Neodiprion lecontei: one gene and its partner. The protein of the gene in region 2 purifies or fractionates together with the protein of the main gene of each other region. This does not show direct contact. Links are inferred from orthologs where the notes say so. Each region holds a gene or a part of one and is shown on either strand. Other genes may lie near its edges.

The links.
Region 1: the proteins of serine/threonine-protein kinase STK11 (region 2) and COP9 signalosome complex subunit 3 purify together in Homo sapiens (affinity purification with mass spectrometry; 5 studies listed by BioGRID and IntAct, with this or other methods). This does not show direct contact. The link is inferred for Neodiprion lecontei from reciprocal best matches to the Homo sapiens genes STK11 and COPS3.

The regions. Positions count from the first base shown.
Region 1 is NC_060262.1:2,588,245-2,594,209, forward strand, and holds COP9 signalosome complex subunit 3, read right to left. Parts: upstream 4,047-5,965; 5' UTR 3,840-4,046; coding exon 3,764-3,839; intron 3,492-3,763; coding exon 3,231-3,491; intron 3,143-3,230; coding exon 2,418-3,142; intron 2,330-2,417; coding exon 2,033-2,329; 3' UTR 821-2,032; downstream 1-820. Other genes in the region: nicotinamide riboside kinase 1, read left to right, coding at 206-820. UniProt on the Homo sapiens protein: Component of the COP9 signalosome complex (CSN), a complex involved in various cellular and developmental processes.
Region 2 is NC_060263.1:39,950,265-39,957,466, forward strand, and holds serine/threonine-protein kinase STK11, read right to left. Parts: upstream 5,440-7,202; 5' UTR 5,352-5,439; coding exon 5,008-5,351; intron 4,773-5,007; coding exon 4,652-4,772; intron 4,230-4,651; coding exon 4,044-4,229; intron 3,851-4,043; coding exon 3,714-3,850; intron 3,313-3,713; coding exon 2,969-3,312; intron 2,450-2,968; coding exon of another isoform or gene 2,401-2,449; intron 2,197-2,400; coding exon of another isoform or gene 2,114-2,196; exon of another isoform or gene 2,059-2,113; intron 1,485-2,058; coding exon 1,327-1,484; 3' UTR 548-1,326; downstream 1-547. UniProt on the Homo sapiens protein: Tumor suppressor serine/threonine-protein kinase that controls the activity of AMP-activated protein kinase (AMPK) family members, thereby playing a role in various processes such as cell metabolism, cell polarity, apoptosis and DNA damage response.

The DNA of each region.
Region 1 (5,965 bases), on a different chromosome or scaffold from region 2:
AACTTAAATTAGTATCATCGTATTCTTGGATTAGTATCGGAGTACCATTTGTTGAATAAGTGACCAAGTTTAGCGTCTTCGTTTACTTTATTATCAAACTGTGGTGGTGGAATAAATTGTTGGTAGCTTCATATTGGTATTCTGGTTTCAACAAGTGAGACGATAAGATTACTTCGCGAAATATAGAAAAATAAAAATAACTACGATGAGCGACTGGCTGATTGTTGGAATATCCGGAGTTACGTGCAGCGGGAAAACGACTCTGTCTAAAGAAATAAATGCCAAGTTAACCAACTCTGTAGTTATAAGTCAAGATGATTATTTCCTACCGACAGATAGCCCACGGCACACTTTTATACCTGAATTGAATCATATTAACATGGACATAATCAGCAGCTTGGATATGGAAAAAATGCACAATGACATATTGCAAGTAATTCAGGATTTTGAAACGGGAAATGGCGATGGGAACTGTAGAACTACTAGGAGAGTATTGATCGTTGAAGGATTTCTCATTTTTAGCTACAAACCAATATCAGATTTGACCAATTTAAAGTATTTTATTACCCTTGACAAGGATGAGTGCTGGAAGAGGCGAGAACTTCGCACGTACCTTCCACCAGACGTTCCGGGTTATTATGAAAAAATTGTATGGCCAGAATTCTTGAAACATAAGTCAGAAATAATAAATGACAGTAGTTTGAGCGAGGTTAAATTTATCGATGGATCAAGATCAAAAAAAGATATATTCGATGAGGTTTACAGTGCAATTAAGTGCCTGATGTGTAAAGAATGTAGCGAATGTACACAGAGCTTGTAGAGTTCCTCATGAAATTATAGGTGGATAAATGATGATTTGTATTATAATATAAATAAAAAGAAAACCTACAAGTTTTCCTTAGAGCGCAATTGAATAAATACATTATCGAATGTGCATTCAATAATATATGTCATTTTACAGTTTTCTTTAAGGACTTGTCCTTCTGACCGTGTTCCTCGTGCAGTGATTGTTAATCACCGATCCAAATATCCTTGCAACGACCTAAACTCCTGCAGCAAAGTAATCAGCAACAACTTTTTTGAGACTTTTCTCATCGAAAAGATGCAACTAACGGATGCTTAGATTACATAATTCTACAAGAAAATTTGTGAGTCAAAATTAATACTTTCCATTTTTATCTCGAATATTACAAGTCACAATCAACATTCGTTAACTTGGGCAATGACTGAATCAGTATTTTGTAACTTGTAATTCTTCCGTTTCCTGTTGCCGCTTTTGGAAAATAACATTGACTTCACAGTGAATACAGAATAGCGAATTTACTGCACTATGCTTATTAAATATTATTTCGAGTCAGTGAATTCACAAATTAACGTTGACTAGATAAATACCTGCTATAAATATTCAGAATATCTATTAAATATATTAGTATTGTGCCTTGGTACGCATTTATTGATAAAAAAATTCAAATTCCGAATAAATACCAGAAATGGTGAAATAGGTAGTTATCGATTGTTAACGAAAGCTGACGTATAATAGAATTCGTTGGCAACTTTAAATAAAGCTTATTTCAGAAAAGCCAATGCAATTTTAGTTTAGAACTTAGAATCTAGTTTTATTTGCAAAAACAGTTTTTAGTTGCAATAGAAACAAAGGTTAGAAATAACATTCCATACTTAGAATTCATCCGTAGATTACAAGACTTATTTTTACATTTAACACACCGTAGTTTCTAAAGACAAATAATTGGTAATTGCTGTGACAATTTTTAGTACACTATATATCAATTAGGCAGTTGTATTATCAGCAATGAGGTTTGTAAAAAGTGCGAATAATAGTAAACAAAAAAATTTGCTTTACAAATTTGTTTAATTATGGTTAACTGAAATGAGCTTTAACATTTTCTTTCCTTTTCTCGATGTGGCTTTTTGAAAATGATTTTTCCCTTCTTTTTTTCCATTTTTTGTGTTTTTTTTTTTTTTTTTTTTTTGTATTTGTTTTTTAATAAAGATAACGCACGATCATGGTATGTTACATGGAGTAAGTGCTATGTTTAGACTGTCCTTGGGTATTGGTTACATTGGTATGTACGGGACCTGTCAATGGCTCATCTTGATCTACATGACAGCACACTTTACGCACATATTGAGGTGCCAAAAGCACTTCTTCCTCCATCTCTAGAACCCGTTTATCGAGCTCCGTGCAAGCTTCCATTTCTTTTTCAAGCCTGGCAAGCATTTCGGGTGAGTTATACTTCTCGGGATCGTCGTGAAACACGACCATTCCATCTTTCTGATTGATCGTTGCAAATATCTCGCCGTCTTCAATCTGAAAAAGAGATTATGCAGCCGCTTAGTAAAGTTGTTTAGCCGCAAAGCAAAAATGACGTGAGTGGCCAATCGAGCATGCTTCTCACCATGTTTAGAATATATTGCTCAGCCTCAGTGGGCCCGGGAAGTTGTGCCCTGCTAGCAACGTCCGTAAGACTCAGGGTGAGGAAAGTTTTGGTGAGTCTCTGTATGTTCTTTTTGTACAAGTAGCGTAGGACTTGTTTCACCAATCCCCAGTTGTGATCTCTGACAAACAGCTCTTGGTGCTTGGTCATCACGGTGTTAACTTGTGCGCAGCTATTGGTCGAGTAGGCCGTCGCGATATCGTGATACCCCTGACTCAGTGGCTTGATAAACCTGTTAACGATCTGACTCGCATGCTTTGGTATGGTCACTATTTTACCATGAAGAATCAACGACACCAGCATGTACTTTTTGTACGCCTCCAACATTATGTGGCTCACCGACATCGCAGGGGTCGTTATGCAGACCTCGAAAAAGTACAAGGCTCGATTGTAGTTTTTCAATGCCGTGTATATCATTCCACCGTAATAATAGTATAGCAAAAAGTATTTTGCATCAAAATATCCACCCTCTTGACTTATACCGGTTATATCAGTATCCAAAAACTCTAGCGCAGGCTTGAAACACTTTGAGAGTAAACACAGCTGGCACAAATCTGCGTGTATAGATGTCAGCTGGCTGTCGAACAGCTGTATTTTTCGTATTGCTCTGCGCAAGAGGTCGACACCTCGCAGAGGCATTTGCAGGTCTATCAAGAGTTGGCTTAAAAGGTGGCATAATTCTGTGTCTGAAAAAATATACGCCATGTGTTAATCATCGATGACGATGTATCGTAGAAGCAGCTAAATAGTGACCAAGAATGCAAAAATTATCACATGTATCCGGGGCGAATCTGACTTGCTCCCCGTTGCATCCTACGATGAAGTCTTGGACCTGATTCAACAGCGGCTTGTAGGCATCTGGGTTGTTTGCTCCGTTGGCATTTGGCAGGGAAAGTTTTACGCAGAGGACGGCTAGGATTCCCAGTGAGTGTTGCTGTAGGTCAAGTGTTTCTAAGACATTGTCTAAATGTGGCCCGTTTCTTGCGAGCGTGGTCGTAGATTTATTGATAATGTCACAGAGCTCTCTGAAGTTGCCTGCGAACATGAAGAAAAGAATTTTTAAAACGCGAGGACAGAATAAAGAGCAAAATATGTAATTTTTATTTTCTTCAGTTTTGCTCGGTAGAAACTTCGAAATTTTTCAACCGGTGGGTCAAATTCTACCCGACCGGTGTTCAAAAGTTCAGATTTCAATTTTCCGATCACCTATCGCTGTTTCACAGGCAAAAAACGATCATGCGATTAGCACTATTGAGGTTATGTACCCGGTTCTCTCAATTCTTTGTTCTAATCAAATTGGCTCCTACCTTGCGTTGAGAGCGTACGGACATTATTTACAAATAGCTCGAGTGACGATGCCATTAGTGATGATACTTTCATCATCAATATCAAGTAACGTATTTATATTTACAACGTTTATTATATTTCTTTTCAAATTATCGGAGCCAGTGACGTTTTGAAACCTTCTACGAACACTCAGACCGCTCTGAAGCTCTCGCAGTTCTTACAGAATTCCGTCAAAGGGCTAACTTCATGATCCTTGCTCGTCGATCAACGGATCAGTCGGCTTCGGACGTATTCGGTCGGCAAATATTTTTTTCGCTTTTTTTTTTTTATCGTCTCTTCAGTTTCCTATGTTTACTCTATTTACTGACAGTGTAAATACCGCTGACACACGAAATGACTTTCATCGGTAACGTTACCGACATGTTTTTGTGCTCGAAATTTAGTTCCAAGAATCTGATCAGAGTGAACGTCGCTGCTGCAGCGACGCTACTTTCAGGCTACTCACAGAATTCTGGGATGCCGAAGAGTTCAAACGTGCTCGGCTCGTACCATGTATTTGGATTTGTTCAAATTTATACTCAATTTAATGGTTCTTCCTAATTAACTCGATGTGTGGGGCTGGCCTTGGTAAGTGATTGTCATGCAAACAGTTCTAAGTCACCGAGAAGTTTGTTTTCACCCGGTATGCCTGTAACTTGTTGTTTTTTTTTTCAATGGTGAACAAACAACGCTAGCGATTTGACTGTTACGTATACATCGCACCGAAGTCTATATTGGATTCTCCGTAACAGTCTCGTATGCTGTACATACGGCTTTTCGCGCTTCTCAAGTGGTAGAAGTGATCACTTTTATTGTGATCGTGGTCTTTTTTGAAAAATACACTTGCATCGACGTGACGATAAATCACCCTCGGTTATCTACAGGCAATCTATTTTTTACAGTATTATTATTCAGTTGTGGATGTTTCTCCAAAGATTGCCGCATTATTTCTTTTAAGCAAAGAAAAACGAGAATCTAATTTGTTTACTGGCTGTGTTGTTGAAATTTGAATTTAGCGCGTAAATTAGTGATTCAACATGGCTGACCTTGCCACTCTCTGCAGTTAAACAATCTCGAATCAAGTCAAGTCAGTGGCGCCTTCGGCAGACCAACAACACGCGAATCGATTACTAAAAACGACTGTGGCGTCGGTAAGAATGATTTTTAATAATGCAGTCTGTAAGCTTAGCGTAAATAGCTGAATTCTATAATTTGTTAGATGTATAGAAATTTGCTACAACGTGAACAGTTTTTCAGCACCTTTTATTCGCGCATTTAGGGGTTTTACTCTTCTTCTCCGTTATTGGTTTAACGAATTTGTATAAAAACATTGTATTTGGTTTACTCGACGTTGAGATTTTGAGTAAAAAAAAAAAAAACGTTAGTTACATCGAAAGTTTATTCGAATTTCTACACGTATCACACGTTTTACTTTATAGATCAAGCTTCTATATTACCGTTCACCAGGATCCTACAACTTAGGGTAAAACGTATTCGGATTGTTACATAAACGAGAGCTAAATTGTTTAATTTCAAACGATTATCAATTCCATGAACTAATCGAGTTGAAATAACATTTCAAACATGTCAGATTATAATCGATAAATAACAAACGAACGAGTCAACGTCACGTTCAAGTGTTGTATGGTGCATATTATGCATGTGTTGTAAGAAAAATTAACAGATTAAAATGAAAAAAAAAAACACTTGAAAATCTGCGATAATGACGCGCGACTTGGAGTTGCGGTCCTTCCAAGTTATTATACGACTATATAATGATATCGCGGTACTCGATACATTACACGAGAAAGTAAACATACGTCAATGGCGCATGTAAGTAATTCATTTACCTACCTTTAGGAATAATATCATACGAGACTGACTACGTCAAATGGCTCACGCATTAAATTTAAGTACTCACCGCGACATTACACTTTGCATACATCTTTCAGGTGTGAATGTCGTGATTTCGGTAATCAGAGTCAGTAAAGGAAATCGTCGAAGATTCTTATTGACCCATCAAATTATATTGCTGTACAAGCCGTGACAATGAAAATAATAGGGATGAAGTTAACAATAAGTTAGTTTAAAAGTATCATACGGTTGTAATATTATTTGTCTCGCATTTCACTCGATTTAACTGTTACTGTAATATAATATTTAGCTCGACGTGATTGCGTCTT
Region 2 (7,202 bases):
TTTTACGTTGAACACTACGAAGTATTCACACTTGTAATTTTTTGTTACCAAACACCCTGCAATATATAACAGTACTTACGTAATTTGAATTTATTATTCTAAAGAACAGATTTACCAACGAACGGACGATAATCAGTTAAACGAAATGAAACAGTAAACATAAAATTTGTACACATGTTGTTATTATTATTATTATTATTATTCTTGTTATTATTATTATGTACTTTTTACAGAAATTAGCCTTCTACTTTTTTTCTTCTGTCTTTCGTACAAATCATTCGAATGAATAAATAATTCAATTACACTCTTTTATTATTATTTTATACTTCAGTATCAGTACAGAGATTTTTTTTAATTTTTTTTTTTTTTTTGTACACGAATTATTGTGAATTTTAAGAGAAAAAAAACTTACAACTTGATCGGTTTGGGATATGATTACAAATGGTTGAACCATTTTTGCAAACAAAAGTAAAGTGAGATTTATAATCGTTCAAAGAGCGGTCACGTTATTTAATCTGATTTATTATAATTATATCAGCACAGCAGATTCTGATTAAATTAAATATAAAACTTTTTTATTCTTACTGATTTATACGTTAAAATTTTTGGCAGTCATAGAACAGCTCGAGTTTTTTGATTAATTGTTTATTAATTTTTTTTTTTTTAATTTTGTTTATATCAGAGATTTGTCGTTCTTGCAGCGATTCCTGTCATAAAAGTAATATGTTTTATCGAATATGATCGAAGTAGATAATCTAATATAGGTATGCAGTTTTGCGCCTGAAACATATTACAGTGTGATTTAGAAGGGGATTCATGATGTATAAATATTAACTTTCGACAGCTAATTACAAGTCAGAGTTTCTAAGGAGGTACGATTTTTATCTTGAACGAAAAAAAAAAAAAAAATAGTCAACAAATACCTCAACGAAAAGTAGAATGCTTGAGTAGATTCGGAAAGAGTGCTGAGATGCGAATAGAGGATCGTTTAACACATCGTTAAATTTCAAGTTTTTTTTTTTTACCTCAAGTTTTGACCGAATAAAGTAAATAAAAATACAATAAATAACTTGTAAAAATCTTTGACGTAATTATTTGATAATTCATAATATTTCTGAATTATTTTAATCAATAATTACCATCACGTCAAACCGCGTTTCAAATTGGTCGCATGAAACGCATATTTTCTGTATCATTTCTCGCATTCTCCACTCTTTCCGCAGTCGGTAAATATAATTTCCAGTCCCATCTCCAAGATAGAGAAAATATTACATAACAACTGACACAGTCAGTAAGAATACTTGGTGACATATATATTAAAATGAATCACGATGGTTTACAAGATGGAAATTTCTTTACGCTGATACACGATATCGGTTTACGCCATCTTCTCTTTCCGTGGTGACCAATTTGTTTGATATGACTATTACACGCCTCTTTTTGATCTCCGATACTTCTGTCCAATTCCTGGAGTTTTCTTTCTTCTATAAAAAAAATTACAATTAACAACGAATGATCATGTTTCAAGTAAAATTCAGTAAAGTAATGGGACGTTTTACAATCGCAATATATAAACTCAATGTTAAAACATGGACAAAGTATATGAAACCTGAGGATATCATCACCAAACTAAATGTTAGCACAAAGAATTACAAGTAGGATATGATGACGGGTTGAAAAAATATGAACACTGATAAATAATTTATGATTGGGTAGGCGAAGAATAAAAAATGGAAATTATCACCGATGATTGAGAATGAAAATAGGTACAGGGTTGAGGATTAAAAAGTCAAAACAGACGGCATGACATACCAGGGTGCAAAAAAAAACTTACAAAACACATGTTCATCTATAAACAAATTCATAATAGTCAGTTTGAAAAGTTATTCGTTTGACAGTTTCGAAGTGTTAGTTGAGTAAAAGAGAGACGATACGAGCGATTTGTTAATAAAAAATACCCCACCTATTGTTAAAAAAAGATTCTCAAAAATACAAGGTGAATTTAGGATCGATACGACGGACACGGGGTGCTAAGAAGAGTGAATAGAATAATAGTACCGCTTATTGAAAAATCCAGAATCCAAAACTGAAACCAGCTACGCATATGTCAGTGTTATAGAATGACGCATGTCTTTGAGAAGAATAATACAATACAGTTAGGCGACAAACGCTTTCTCTCATCTCTTCGGCCTAAATCTGAAAAGCAAAACCTGTGTGTCAAGAGGTTTTGCAGAGTATGGATGTAACACAAGATTCCGGTTGAATTTAACTGATATTAATCGTCTATGATGCAGCAATTTTTATACTATCTCAGTCTGTACTAGTTGTTAGTATGTAGCTCAAATGCAGAATGCACACTCCGCGTGCTTATCATTGGTGCACGTAATGTCTGGGACTTACCAATTGTGCGGGGGCCACCAATCTGGGCTTACAAGCAATTTGTATGAATCTACCCAATTAAAACAATTCAATGTAGCACGACAGAAAAAAGATTAAATTAATTTTTTCTTAAAAAAGCTCAGCTAATATGATCTTTGCGAGTGAAACTGAGGAAAGCAAGAGAAAAATAAAGATTAAAGAAACGCTTTCATTAAAAATTAGTTGGTTGACGAGAAGCGTATGAATTATAATGCAAAATTGAAGAAAAAAGGAAACATATAATCTCTCGATATGTTTACAGCTACGTATATAAGTTTGTTGTTATTACATAGCGTTGATTGTATAAGTGACTTATTGCAGCAATAAATAGTAAATTATATGCATACAAGCCTATTTGTGTATTATATGACGCTCAAGGTTTTCATTATTAGCAAGTCTAAGTGGTGTATAATTGTGACGCGACAAGTCTCAAGTCTTACGCCATTTGTAATGCGAGATACTGACCTTTGGAGCGATAATCATATAATATTAATTGCAGGTAAAAAAGGAAAAAAAAAAAAAACCGCATATGATGATGTTTAATACTGACCATTGAGTTGATGTTCTGTGTAATAGGTAGGATTTGTTTCGACTCCATAATGGTGTTCTATAAGGTATGGAAGAACAGTCATAGTGTGCCATTCATCACCCCTTAGAGGTGGTACAGGGACTTCTTCCAGTGTCTTAGGCGGTCTCCACAATGTCCACGAATGTTGCCTGATCTGCTGCAGCGTAAATCTTCGGTCGACTTCCTTTTGTAGCATTCCCTCTAACAGTGATCGTAAGGAATTGTCTACAGCCTCTGGTATTTTATATTCACCTTTTCCAATATTCTCATATAACTTGTAAATATTGTCCCCTTCGAAGGGGTATTCGCCTGTTGTAATATTATATCTACAAAGTAGAACAGTTGAACATACTATTCAAATAAATATACATACACGTTACATTTATTTACACACACTCAACTCGTAATAATAAGTAAGTCGAGACATCGTTTGCCAAATATGACGTACAATACAAGTATTGTGTCGGTTTCATATTGCATATCGAAATTTACATGATGTCGAATACATGAGTAAATACAAATTTTTACAAAGTATTAGTTAAAACCACATAGAAATATTTTCTTCAAAATTTTGCAGATTTGCTTCTGTACAGTTTCAATTCAGACTCAAGCCAAGGTAGTTTTAAATAATAATGCGGAAAAATTTGCAGAGTGAAATTTGACTCAAGAGTGTGCAATAACGAGTTGCATTATTTTAGTAACAAAAGCGCTAACTGTAATTACTTACAAAGTGACTCCACTGCTCCAAATGTCTACTTTGAAGCCAGCAAATGTTTCACAGCCATTAGCAATTTCTGGAGGTTGAAATGCCGGAGAGCCTTGGCCCGCCGTGCATGTGTCATCCTTGGCAAACATGTCCAAGGCCTGTAAAAAAATTTCAAGTATACGTAATTAGTTTCAATAGCGTGTGAAATTACAGCATGAAGTATTATTTGAAAATAACCTAAATATAAAAAGTAAAATGATGTGAAAATGCTTTAGTACACTGTGAGGATTTGACTATCTAGTTCTAACGATTATGTAGCGATTAGAGGTGTAGCTAATCAAACGTACACACCTCAGCTACACCGAGGTCGCTAATTTTCAGAGTACCGTCTAGCGTCAAAAGTAAATTTCCAGGTTTAATATCTTTGTGAACGATTCCCTTGCCGTGAAGGTATTCAAGGCCGTCCAAGAGTTGGTTAAAATACCCGTGCGCTTGCCAGAGCGGAAATTTCTTGTGAGGTGTGCTTTCCAGCATATCCTGAAAATAATACTGATAAGTTGGAAAAGTTTTGGCCTTCTTACGCAATTTCTGTAACTTCTACCCGCAACTATAAGCGCGGAAAATAAAAAAATAAACAAAAAAAACACGATTTTCTTAAAGTCATCGATAAGTAAAAATGTTATTAATGCAGTTTTTATATTTCATTTCGACATAACGTGTGTGAATAAACGTCTTTCTTACAAACGATTCTAGGGTGTGCCAATTACTGTGAAAATGATCTAATGGAGTCATAATTTATACGTTACATTGATATAACAGTATTTAAACAGCAAATATACAAAGATTGTAAAAAGGAGGCAGAATGTCATCGGCTAGAAATAATTGAAGCATTGGCCTTTGGAATGGAAAATTAATTCTAGGATTAGACATTTTAATAATGAGAAACAGAAAGCGTATACCTGTAAACCTCCCACGCAAAACTCCATTACCAAATACATCTTTTCTTTTTCGTGATTATATAAAACGTCCACCAACCCGATAACATTTTTATGTTTCAATATCCTCAGCATTTGAATTTCCCTAAAACAGAGACGAAAACAATCGAGGTTAATTCTTGAATTAGATTAAAAACTCTCTACGCCGAATATGCAAGTTGTTCAAAATCATCATAAGCTTGAGAAACGACTGATTAAGAATTGATACAACCATGATTAGCAAGTAATTGTATTTAAACTAGAAGGAGAGAGAGTGAATGAAATTAATAAAATGCAGGGCAATAAGATGTTGAATTTTGGCAAGTGAAATGGTATCGCACCGTTGAACATTGAGTTCGCCGTTGGGTATCCTGCGGAGTTTTTTTTTCTTCAAAATCTTAACAGCTCTCCGACAGAGGGTTTCCGAGTCGAGCATCTCTTTAACTTTTCCGTAACTCCCCTCCCCCAAAAGGTCACCCATAACATATTTACCAATTAATTTACATGTTTTCTTTTTTTCCTCATATATTATTTGGTCCGAATCCACTCTGTGAAAGAACATGTTGATATCGTCCAAGTCATAATTACTATCGTCGTTCTCCCACCTCACTGGCTCTATGTCGCTGAATATTTCATTATTTATCTCCTCGACGTCAGGATCACCTACTGTGATCCTACTGTCCATTTTCACAACACCGAATATCACTTAAATTACATAAATCTTTTACAAGTTAACCTAAAACACCACCGGCGACATCATTGTTGTACCGAAATCTCACCTCATACCAAGAGATGGAACATCGCTGGACACGTAAATAAATTTCGCGCCACCTAGCAAAGAAAATCAGAAGTATAAAAGGTAACTAGATGGTAAGCGCATGTTCAACCTTATCGCTTAAGCACCTTGAAAATTAGCTACAAAAATCGTCGGTACAGCGTGCTCATTTGGTAGAATCATTGATCTCTTATGATTGGTGGATAAGATGCTAGCTATATAATATTGATAGGTACTATTCGTTTAAAAAAACCTTCAATGAGTAATGAAAAAAAGCCCTACTATTTAGTGAAGTATTTCCTTGCAAGGCTTTGCTGTTGAGGTTGTTAACTTGTTAATCGCAAGTCGAACCGCATTTATCAGACACCGCAGGTGATACCTGTGAACGATAATAAATAGAATTACCATATTATTTGAATAAGCAAATATTTTTATTTTCTATTTGCTGATAGATTGGAGTAATTTTCTCCTCAGCGATTTGCACGTTGTCTCAACACGATTTCCTGAAAAATGTTTGTGCCAGGAAAACATGTGATAGGGTCAAGAAAACGAAATGTAATAAATTATTTGATATATTCTTGTCTCGTTACACAGAAACGCAGCTGGCTTTTACAATCGGCTCCTCCGTGGCAGCCTTAATAATAGCTGATATATTATATGTATGTGTAATGATAGACAATACGTACTGCATTAAGATGACTATAAACCAAGTGCGAATGTCGCAGTACAATTAATGGTTGTAAATGAGATAGAATAGATTATTTACAATACCATTGTTAACCATTGGAAACGAGGTCCCCTCCCTATTTTGGAATGTTGTCTCTAGTTATGATACGTATCCTTAAACGATTATACTTATAATTTATAGAAATAATAAGTTAACTACATTATTTGGGTATTTATAATAATAATTTATAAATCATCACAACTATACCACGTCGTCTTTTTTCCCCATATAAGTGGACAGTACATATTTAATCTTCAATTATATATACCGTCGGATTTGTACTTAAAGTATAATAATATTATTTGGACAGAGTTATTTAAGCCGGTTCAATTTTACATCGTCCTCACATGCGAATAACGGGTATTTCGTTGCGACCAATTCTCGTTCTAAATATAAACTAAATAGATCGCAGATCACTATTTCGAGTAAATATCATTTTGCTTATGACGGTTAATACCGATGAAAATACTTCTGGAAAAGATTGAAAATGACTCGGATGATCGGGATGAGTTTAAGTAATGCGAAACATTTGTTCTCCATTACTTTATTCGATATAGGGAGAGAAAAATTTCTCACGAAACTCACTGAATAGCGTGTGTTAAGACGTTGCATGGAATGATTGAAGGTGTCGTGCGGCGATTGCCCGCTGAATAATAAATAGCTAACAGTTGTAAATATCTGTCTCTCTTTCTCTAGTGATCACACTTCCGCTATAGGCAATATATAGTATCTATATACTAATGACTATTTATTTAGAGTTTTAATAACACTACGTAGGCCTTTTTGATTTTGCTTAAGATACAGCTTAATTGCATGAGTCAAGTTTGGTTTTTTTTTCAACCGATGCAACGTTATAAAACTACGTTTCTGCTACAGTACAATATGCTAATTAGAAGATTTAAGTGATATATTATTACACTAAATTTATAATTATGTTATATAATATATATAATATGTTGTATATTATTTTATTATATAATTTCTATAATTTATTATTATAAATTTCACGTTGTTTTCGAATGGCCCCAATCTGC